Saccharomyces cerevisiae S288C: one gene and its partner. Changing the gene in region 1 together with any one later gene gives a genetic interaction. Each region holds a gene or a part of one and is shown in the gene's direction. Other genes may lie near its edges.

The links. Genes that interact genetically often act in the same process or in processes that back each other up.
Region 2: mutations in ERV29 (region 1) and UBP1 together harm fitness more than expected from each alone (negative genetic interaction), as found in Saccharomyces cerevisiae (2 studies listed by BioGRID).

Annotation. Positions count from the first base shown.
Region 1 is NC_001139.9:1,060,129-1,063,209, reverse strand, and holds ERV29 (protein ERV29), read left to right. Parts: upstream 1-1,619; coding exon 1,620-2,552; downstream 2,553-3,081. Other genes in the region: ZUO1 (zuotin), read left to right, coding at 57-1,358. UniProt on the Saccharomyces cerevisiae protein: Constituent of COPII-coated endoplasmic reticulum-derived transport vesicles. Required for efficient transport of a subset of secretory proteins to the Golgi. The C-terminal di-lysine motif is required for exit from the endoplasmic reticulum.
Region 2 is NC_001136.10:240,739-245,546, forward strand, and holds UBP1 (ubiquitin-specific protease UBP1), read left to right. Parts: upstream 1-1,813; coding exon 1,814-4,243; downstream 4,244-4,808. Other genes in the region: YDL124W (aldo-keto reductase superfamily protein), read left to right, coding at 1-459; SNA4 (Sna4p), read left to right, coding at 680-1,102; EXP1 (Exp1p), read right to left, coding at 4,395-4,808. UniProt on the Saccharomyces cerevisiae protein: Has an ATP-independent isopeptidase activity, cleaving at the C-terminus of the ubiquitin moiety in natural or engineered linear fusion proteins, irrespective of their size or the presence of an N-terminal extension to ubiquitin.

The DNA of each region.
Region 1 (3,081 bases):
TACCGATGCTTTTATAAAATCTTCGTTTTGTCTCACATATACCAACAAGAGTAACGATGTTTTCTTTACCTACCCTAACCTCAGACATCACTGTTGAAGTCAACAGTTCCGCTACCAAAACCCCATTCGTCCGTCGTCCGGTCGAACCGGTTGGTAAGTTCTTTTTGCAACATGCTCAAAGAACTTTGAGAAACCACACCTGGTCTGAATTTGAAAGAATTGAAGCTGAAAAGAACGTCAAAACCGTTGATGAATCCAATGTCGACCCAGATGAGTTGTTATTCGACACTGAATTGGCCGATGAAGATTTACTGACTCATGATGCTAGAGACTGGAAAACTGCCGATTTGTATGCTGCTATGGGTTTGTCTAAGTTGCGTTTCAGAGCTACTGAAAGTCAAATCATCAAGGCTCACAGAAAACAAGTTGTCAAGTACCATCCAGACAAGCAATCTGCTGCTGGTGGTAGTTTGGACCAAGATGGCTTTTTCAAGATTATTCAAAAGGCCTTTGAAACTTTGACTGATTCCAACAAGAGAGCTCAGTACGACTCATGTGATTTTGTTGCCGATGTTCCTCCTCCAAAGAAGGGTACCGATTATGACTTTTATGAAGCTTGGGGCCCCGTTTTCGAAGCTGAAGCTCGTTTTTCTAAGAAGACTCCTATTCCTTCTCTAGGTAACAAAGATTCTTCCAAGAAGGAAGTTGAACAATTCTATGCTTTCTGGCACAGATTTGACTCCTGGAGAACCTTTGAGTTCTTGGACGAAGATGTCCCAGATGACTCTTCTAACAGAGACCACAAGCGTTACATTGAAAGAAAGAACAAGGCCGCAAGAGACAAGAAGAAGACTGCTGATAACGCTAGATTGGTCAAACTTGTTGAAAGAGCTGTCAGTGAAGATCCCCGTATCAAAATGTTCAAAGAAGAAGAGAAGAAGGAAAAGGAAAGAAGAAAATGGGAAAGAGAAGCCGGTGCCAGAGCTGAAGCTGAAGCTAAGGCCAAGGCCGAAGCTGAAGCGAAGGCTAAAGCTGAATCTGAAGCCAAGGCTAACGCCTCCGCAAAAGCTGACAAAAAGAAGGCTAAGGAAGCTGCTAAGGCCGCCAAGAAAAAGAACAAGAGAGCCATCCGTAACTCTGCTAAGGAAGCTGACTACTTTGGTGATGCTGACAAGGCCACCACGATTGACGAACAAGTTGGTTTGATCGTTGACAGTTTGAATGACGAAGAGTTAGTGTCCACCGCCGATAAGATCAAGGCCAATGCTGCTGGTGCCAAGGAAGTTTTGAAGGAATCTGCAAAGACTATTGTCGATTCTGGCAAACTACCATCCAGCTTGTTGTCCTACTTCGTGTGAATACCGTAAGAAATGGAATAGAATATATACGAATGTATACGAATATTATAGAGAACGTTCTCTTTTATTTCTATAATGAATAGGTTCGGGTAACGGTTCCCTTTTTAGGTATTTCTAGAAGATGAGAGAAGAGGGAATAATGAGAAAGGCGAAAAATAAAGGACACCTTTAACGAAAGATCAAAGGTGTCCTTATTTACTTACAATAGCTGCAATTAGTACGACTCAAAAAAAGTGAAAACAAAACTGAAAGGATAGATCAATGTCTTACAGAGGACCTATTGGAAATTTTGGCGGTATGCCAATGTCATCATCGCAAGGACCATACTCTGGCGGTGCACAATTCAGATCAAACCAGAACCAATCCACTTCTGGCATCTTAAAGCAATGGAAGCATTCTTTTGAAAAGTTTGCCTCCAGAATTGAGGGGCTCACTGACAATGCAGTTGTTTATAAATTGAAGCCTTACATTCCAAGTTTGTCAAGATTTTTCATTGTGGCCACCTTTTATGAAGATTCGTTTAGGATCTTATCACAATGGTCAGATCAAATTTTTTATCTGAATAAGTGGAAGCATTACCCATACTTCTTTGTCGTTGTGTTTCTAGTGGTTGTTACCGTTTCCATGTTGATTGGCGCCAGTTTGTTAGTTTTAAGAAAGCAAACCAATTATGCCACCGGTGTGTTATGTGCTTGCGTTATTTCTCAAGCATTAGTTTATGGGTTGTTTACGGGTTCATCATTTGTCCTAAGAAACTTTAGTGTTATTGGTGGGTTGTTAATTGCATTCAGCGATTCAATTGTTCAAAACAAGACAACATTCGGTATGCTTCCTGAATTAAACAGCAAAAACGACAAAGCGAAGGGTTACCTGTTGTTTGCTGGTAGAATTTTAATTGTTTTAATGTTTATCGCTTTCACTTTCAGTAAATCATGGTTTACTGTTGTTTTGACCATTATCGGCACAATATGTTTCGCCATTGGTTACAAGACAAAATTCGCATCCATTATGTTGGGTTTGATACTAACTTTTTACAATATCACGCTAAACAACTACTGGTTTTATAACAATACTAAGAGAGATTTCTTGAAGTATGAGTTTTACCAGAACTTAAGCATCATTGGTGGGCTTCTATTAGTTACTAATACTGGCGCTGGTGAATTATCCGTTGATGAAAAGAAGAAGATTTACTAGATTGTAAAGGAAATCTTTTCTTTATGTCCCTTCTGTTCACTCATCTTCTAACAATCTATTTCGTTTTGCCTTCTTGTGATCGCTTTCAATACCCTGCTAGCTCACATATATACTTTTCTTACTGTCATATCTACATAAAAGATTTCTTTTTGTATAGGCGCACTTAACGAAATTTGATTGGTCTCACGTTGGCTTGTATATTCTACCTTCAATCAATGTGGTTATATCGCACAGAATTCCCTTGTATTATGATAGAACTTATTTATTGTAATTAGTTTTGATTTGACCATTTTCGTTGGTCCGTAATTGTTTTACACTGTCACTGCTTAAATCATTGAAGAGATGCTCTTGAGATAGCATCCGCTCTCCTATCTTTCCAAAGAAACGCTTTAAAGTCGCTTTAAGCAATCTCTAAAGTTTAAAAATTCCTAATAAATAGCTCTTTAGCAACTATTGTAAACCGCAATAATGGGCACACCCAAACATATTATTTGAAATTTTTTCCACCTCATCGCTTGAAAACACCATG
Region 2 (4,808 bases), on another chromosome or scaffold:
GTGGAAGACTTGCAAAGAATTCTGAAAGTTGCGGAAGTCAAGCCCCAAGTTAATCAAATTGAGTTCAGTCCCTTCTTGCAGAATCAAACACCAGGGATCTACAAATTTTGCCAAGAACATGATATATTGGTAGAAGCATACTCGCCACTAGGTCCCTTACAAAAGAAAACAGCACAAGATGACTCTCAACCGTTTTTCGAATACGTGAAAGAGTTATCCGAGAAATATATCAAATCTGAAGCCCAAATTATCCTACGTTGGGTGACCAAACGTGGCGTGTTGCCTGTAACCACCTCTTCCAAACCTCAAAGAATTTCTGACGCGCAAAATTTATTCTCTTTCGACTTGACGGCTGAGGAAGTCGATAAGATAACGGAGTTGGGCTTGGAACATGAACCGCTAAGATTGTATTGGAATAAATTGTACGGTAAATACAACTACGCTGCTCAAAAAGTATAAATACCGGATAATTTATGTACGAGTCATATTTGTTTTGTATAACTTTATTAATCGACTTTTTTTGTCAGGTTTATCACCCCGTTACCCATCCCGCCACTTTTCAGCATCGAGGAAGAAAAAAGGGCTGTACATTATATAAAAGGCCATCAAAAAATACCGGAAGAGGGCATCTCCCCAATAAAGGTGCCACACTGAGCAGAGACAGATAGGGACGCGCATCATGTGTTGCTACTGTGTTTGTTGTACCGTTTCTGACTTTATACTGTATATTGTTGCGTTTTTTTTCCCCCCAGCTGCAGTCCTTCTTCGATCTGGGCCTTGTTCATCTGATTTCCTCCTGAATGTATTGCTAACGCTACTGGGATTTTTGCCCGGTATGTTACACGCATTCTACTACATCACAATTACAAGTCCTTTAAGGAACGCTGAATACGTCTATTATTACCAGCAAGGCTGGGTGGATAGCGAAAGAAACGTTCCTTCGAATCGTCCTCAAAACTCGCAGACCCCCCAAAACCGCCCACAACAAGGAAGCTCCGCTAGAAACGTATACCCGAGCGTTGAAACTCCTCTGTTACAAGGCGCAGCTCCCCATGACAACAAACAGTCTCTGGTTGAGTCTCCTCCTCCTTATGTGCCATGATGAAGCTACAGCAAGGAAAATGAAAATTCCAGCAAGCAAGCAAGCGAAGACCGTTCTTCTCTTTCCTATGATCTTCCTTAGCAAAGAGGTTTGCCAGTCAAAGTAAAAGAGCTGCCATTAAGAAATGTATTTCATTTTGACAGCTTCTTCGATCAATACCGCCAGCTCCCTCGAGCCTATAACTATTTTGCGGATCTGTAAGCCGTAATGTTTTTCCCATAAACGTCACTGAATGTCCATATATCATACTACCAGTAAGCGCCTGTTGGAAACCTTCCTACCTTCATACGTGTATTCTGCTATATCCCTTCTTTTCCTCTTTACGTACAGAATGACATCTATGTAGGCAAGTTTCTTTTTCCATCATTGGAAAACGAAAATACATTTTTCACTAGCACCACAAAATTTTCAAGATGGCCAGGCTAGTTAAATCTATTATACAATAATTATTGGTTATATATTTAAAAAACAGAAACATTTTTTGCTTTAAAAGCACGCCATAGTATTGCTTTTAATATTGTGATCTGCGTCCTTTTTTTTCTCAGGAAAAAAAAATTTTATACACATTCAAAGAATAGAAGCGATTGTCAAAATTCGCTTCTCCTTTCTTTTCCATTATAACGTCTGATCATTTTACGTCTTCAGTGCCCTCCCTTGTTCGAAACTAGATACTTTCGAACACTTCTCCCCTTTTAATCTACAAAATTTTGTATGGATTTGTTTATTGAAAGCAAGATAAACAGTTTATTACAATTTTTATTTGGTTCCCGACAGGATTTTTTGAGAAATTTTAAAACTTGGAGTAACAACAATAACAATCTATCGATTTATTTATTAATTTTTGGCATAGTAGTATTTTTTTATAAAAAACCAGACCATCTAAACTACATTGTTGAGAGCGTTAGTGAAATGACAACAAACTTCAGAAATAATAATAGCCTTAGCCGTTGGTTGCCCAGAAGTAAGTTTACCCACTTAGACGAAGAGATCTTGAAAAGAGGTGGTTTCATTGCTGGTTTAGTTAATGATGGTAACACTTGTTTTATGAACTCTGTTTTGCAATCATTGGCATCATCCAGAGAATTAATGGAGTTCTTGGACAATAATGTCATAAGGACCTATGAGGAGATAGAACAAAATGAACACAATGAAGAAGGAAACGGGCAAGAATCTGCTCAAGATGAAGCCACTCATAAGAAAAACACTCGTAAGGGTGGCAAAGTTTATGGTAAGCATAAGAAGAAATTGAATAGGAAGTCAAGTTCGAAAGAAGACGAAGAAAAGAGCCAGGAGCCAGATATCACTTTCAGTGTCGCCTTAAGGGATCTACTTTCTGCCTTAAATGCGAAGTATTATCGGGATAAACCCTATTTCAAAACCAATAGTTTATTGAAAGCAATGTCCAAATCTCCAAGAAAAAATATTCTTCTTGGCTACGACCAAGAGGACGCGCAAGAATTCTTCCAGAACATACTAGCCGAGTTGGAAAGTAACGTTAAATCATTGAATACTGAAAAACTAGATACCACTCCAGTTGCGAAATCAGAATTACCCGATGATGCTTTAGTAGGTCAACTTAACCTTGGTGAAGTTGGCACTGTTTACATTCCAACTGAACAGATTGATCCTAACTCTATACTACATGACAAGTCCATTCAAAATTTCACACCTTTCAAACTAATGACTCCTTTAGATGGTATCACGGCAGAAAGAATTGGTTGTTTACAGTGTGGTGAGAACGGTGGCATAAGATATTCCGTATTTTCGGGATTAAGCTTAAATTTACCGAACGAGAATATTGGTTCCACTTTAAAATTATCTCAGTTATTAAGCGACTGGAGTAAACCTGAAATCATCGAAGGCGTAGAATGTAACCGTTGTGCCCTCACAGCAGCGCACTCTCATTTATTTGGTCAGTTGAAAGAATTTGAAAAAAAACCTGAGGGTTCGATCCCAGAAAAGTTAATTAACGCTGTAAAAGATAGGGTCCATCAAATCGAAGAAGTTCTTGCCAAACCAGTTATTGACGATGAAGATTATAAGAAGTTGCATACAGCAAATATGGTACGTAAATGCTCTAAATCTAAGCAGATTTTAATATCAAGACCTCCACCATTATTATCCATTCATATCAACAGATCCGTATTTGATCCAAGAACGTACATGATTAGAAAAAATAACTCGAAAGTATTGTTTAAGTCAAGGTTGAATCTTGCCCCATGGTGTTGTGATATTAATGAAATCAATTTGGATGCTCGTTTGCCAATGTCAAAAAAGGAAAAAGCTGCGCAACAAGATTCAAGTGAAGATGAAAACATTGGCGGTGAATACTATACGAAATTACATGAACGCTTCGAGCAGGAATTTGAAGACAGCGAGGAAGAAAAAGAATACGATGACGCAGAGGGGAACTATGCGTCTCATTACAATCATACCAAGGATATCAGTAACTATGATCCCCTAAACGGTGAAGTCGATGGCGTGACATCCGATGATGAAGATGAGTACATTGAAGAAACCGATGCTTTAGGGAATACAATCAAAAAAAGGATCATAGAACATTCTGATGTTGAAAACGAGAATGTAAAAGATAATGAAGAACTGCAAGAAATCGACAATGTGAGCCTTGACGAACCAAAGATCAATGTTGAAGATCAACTAGAAACATCATCTGATGAGGAAGATGTTATACCAGCTCCACCTATCAATTATGCTAGGTCATTTTCCACAGTTCCAGCCACTCCATTGACATATTCATTGCGCTCTGTCATTGTTCACTACGGTACCCATAATTATGGTCATTACATTGCATTTAGAAAATACAGGGGTTGTTGGTGGAGAATATCTGATGAGACTGTGTACGTTGTGGACGAAGCTGAAGTCCTTTCAACACCCGGTGTATTTATGTTATTTTACGAATATGACTTTGATGAAGAAACTGGGAAGATGAAGGATGATTTGGAAGCTATTCAGAGTAATAATGAAGAAGATGATGAAAAAGAGCAGGAGCAAAAAGGAGTCCAGGAGCCAAAGGAAAGCCAAGAGCAAGGAGAAGGTGAAGAGCAAGAGGAAGGTCAAGAGCAGATGAAGTTCGAGAGAACAGAAGACCATAGAGATATTTCTGGTAAAGATGTAAACTAAGTTATAAATACGATATCCGTAATTGTGTAAATAACAATAACTATAATTAAATTGAATAATTAAAAGTCTACGTTATTCGTTAAATCAATTGTTTAGCTAGTTACGAATGTCTAAAGTTTTTGTAGGACAATTGCAAAAATCACTTCCATTATTATACAAATCCTTCGTAAGCTTCATTTTTCTTACCATTGTACTTCTTCAACTTTTTCTCTTCTTCTCTCCGTTCATCTAGTTCATCTTCGTTAATTAGGTCATCAATATCGAAATCGAAATCATTTGGATCTTTGTTGTACTGTCCAATTACACGTCTTTTAAGGCCTGTCTTTGAGTCTATTTCAAATTTTCTGGAAGCGGAAGAGGCACTTGCACTGTCATGGCCAAGGCTTTCCTCCGTGTCCTTCAGATCAAACTTTAATACATTGGTATGATCAAGTTTTTTTTTCAAATATTCCCTCTTACCAAGCTTACCAGTCGCTGACTGTGCTGTTGCAGACGATTTCGGTTTTGTTAGTTTGAATGTACCGATGCCAGAAAACAATGGCAACAATGCAATGAAAGCAATCAC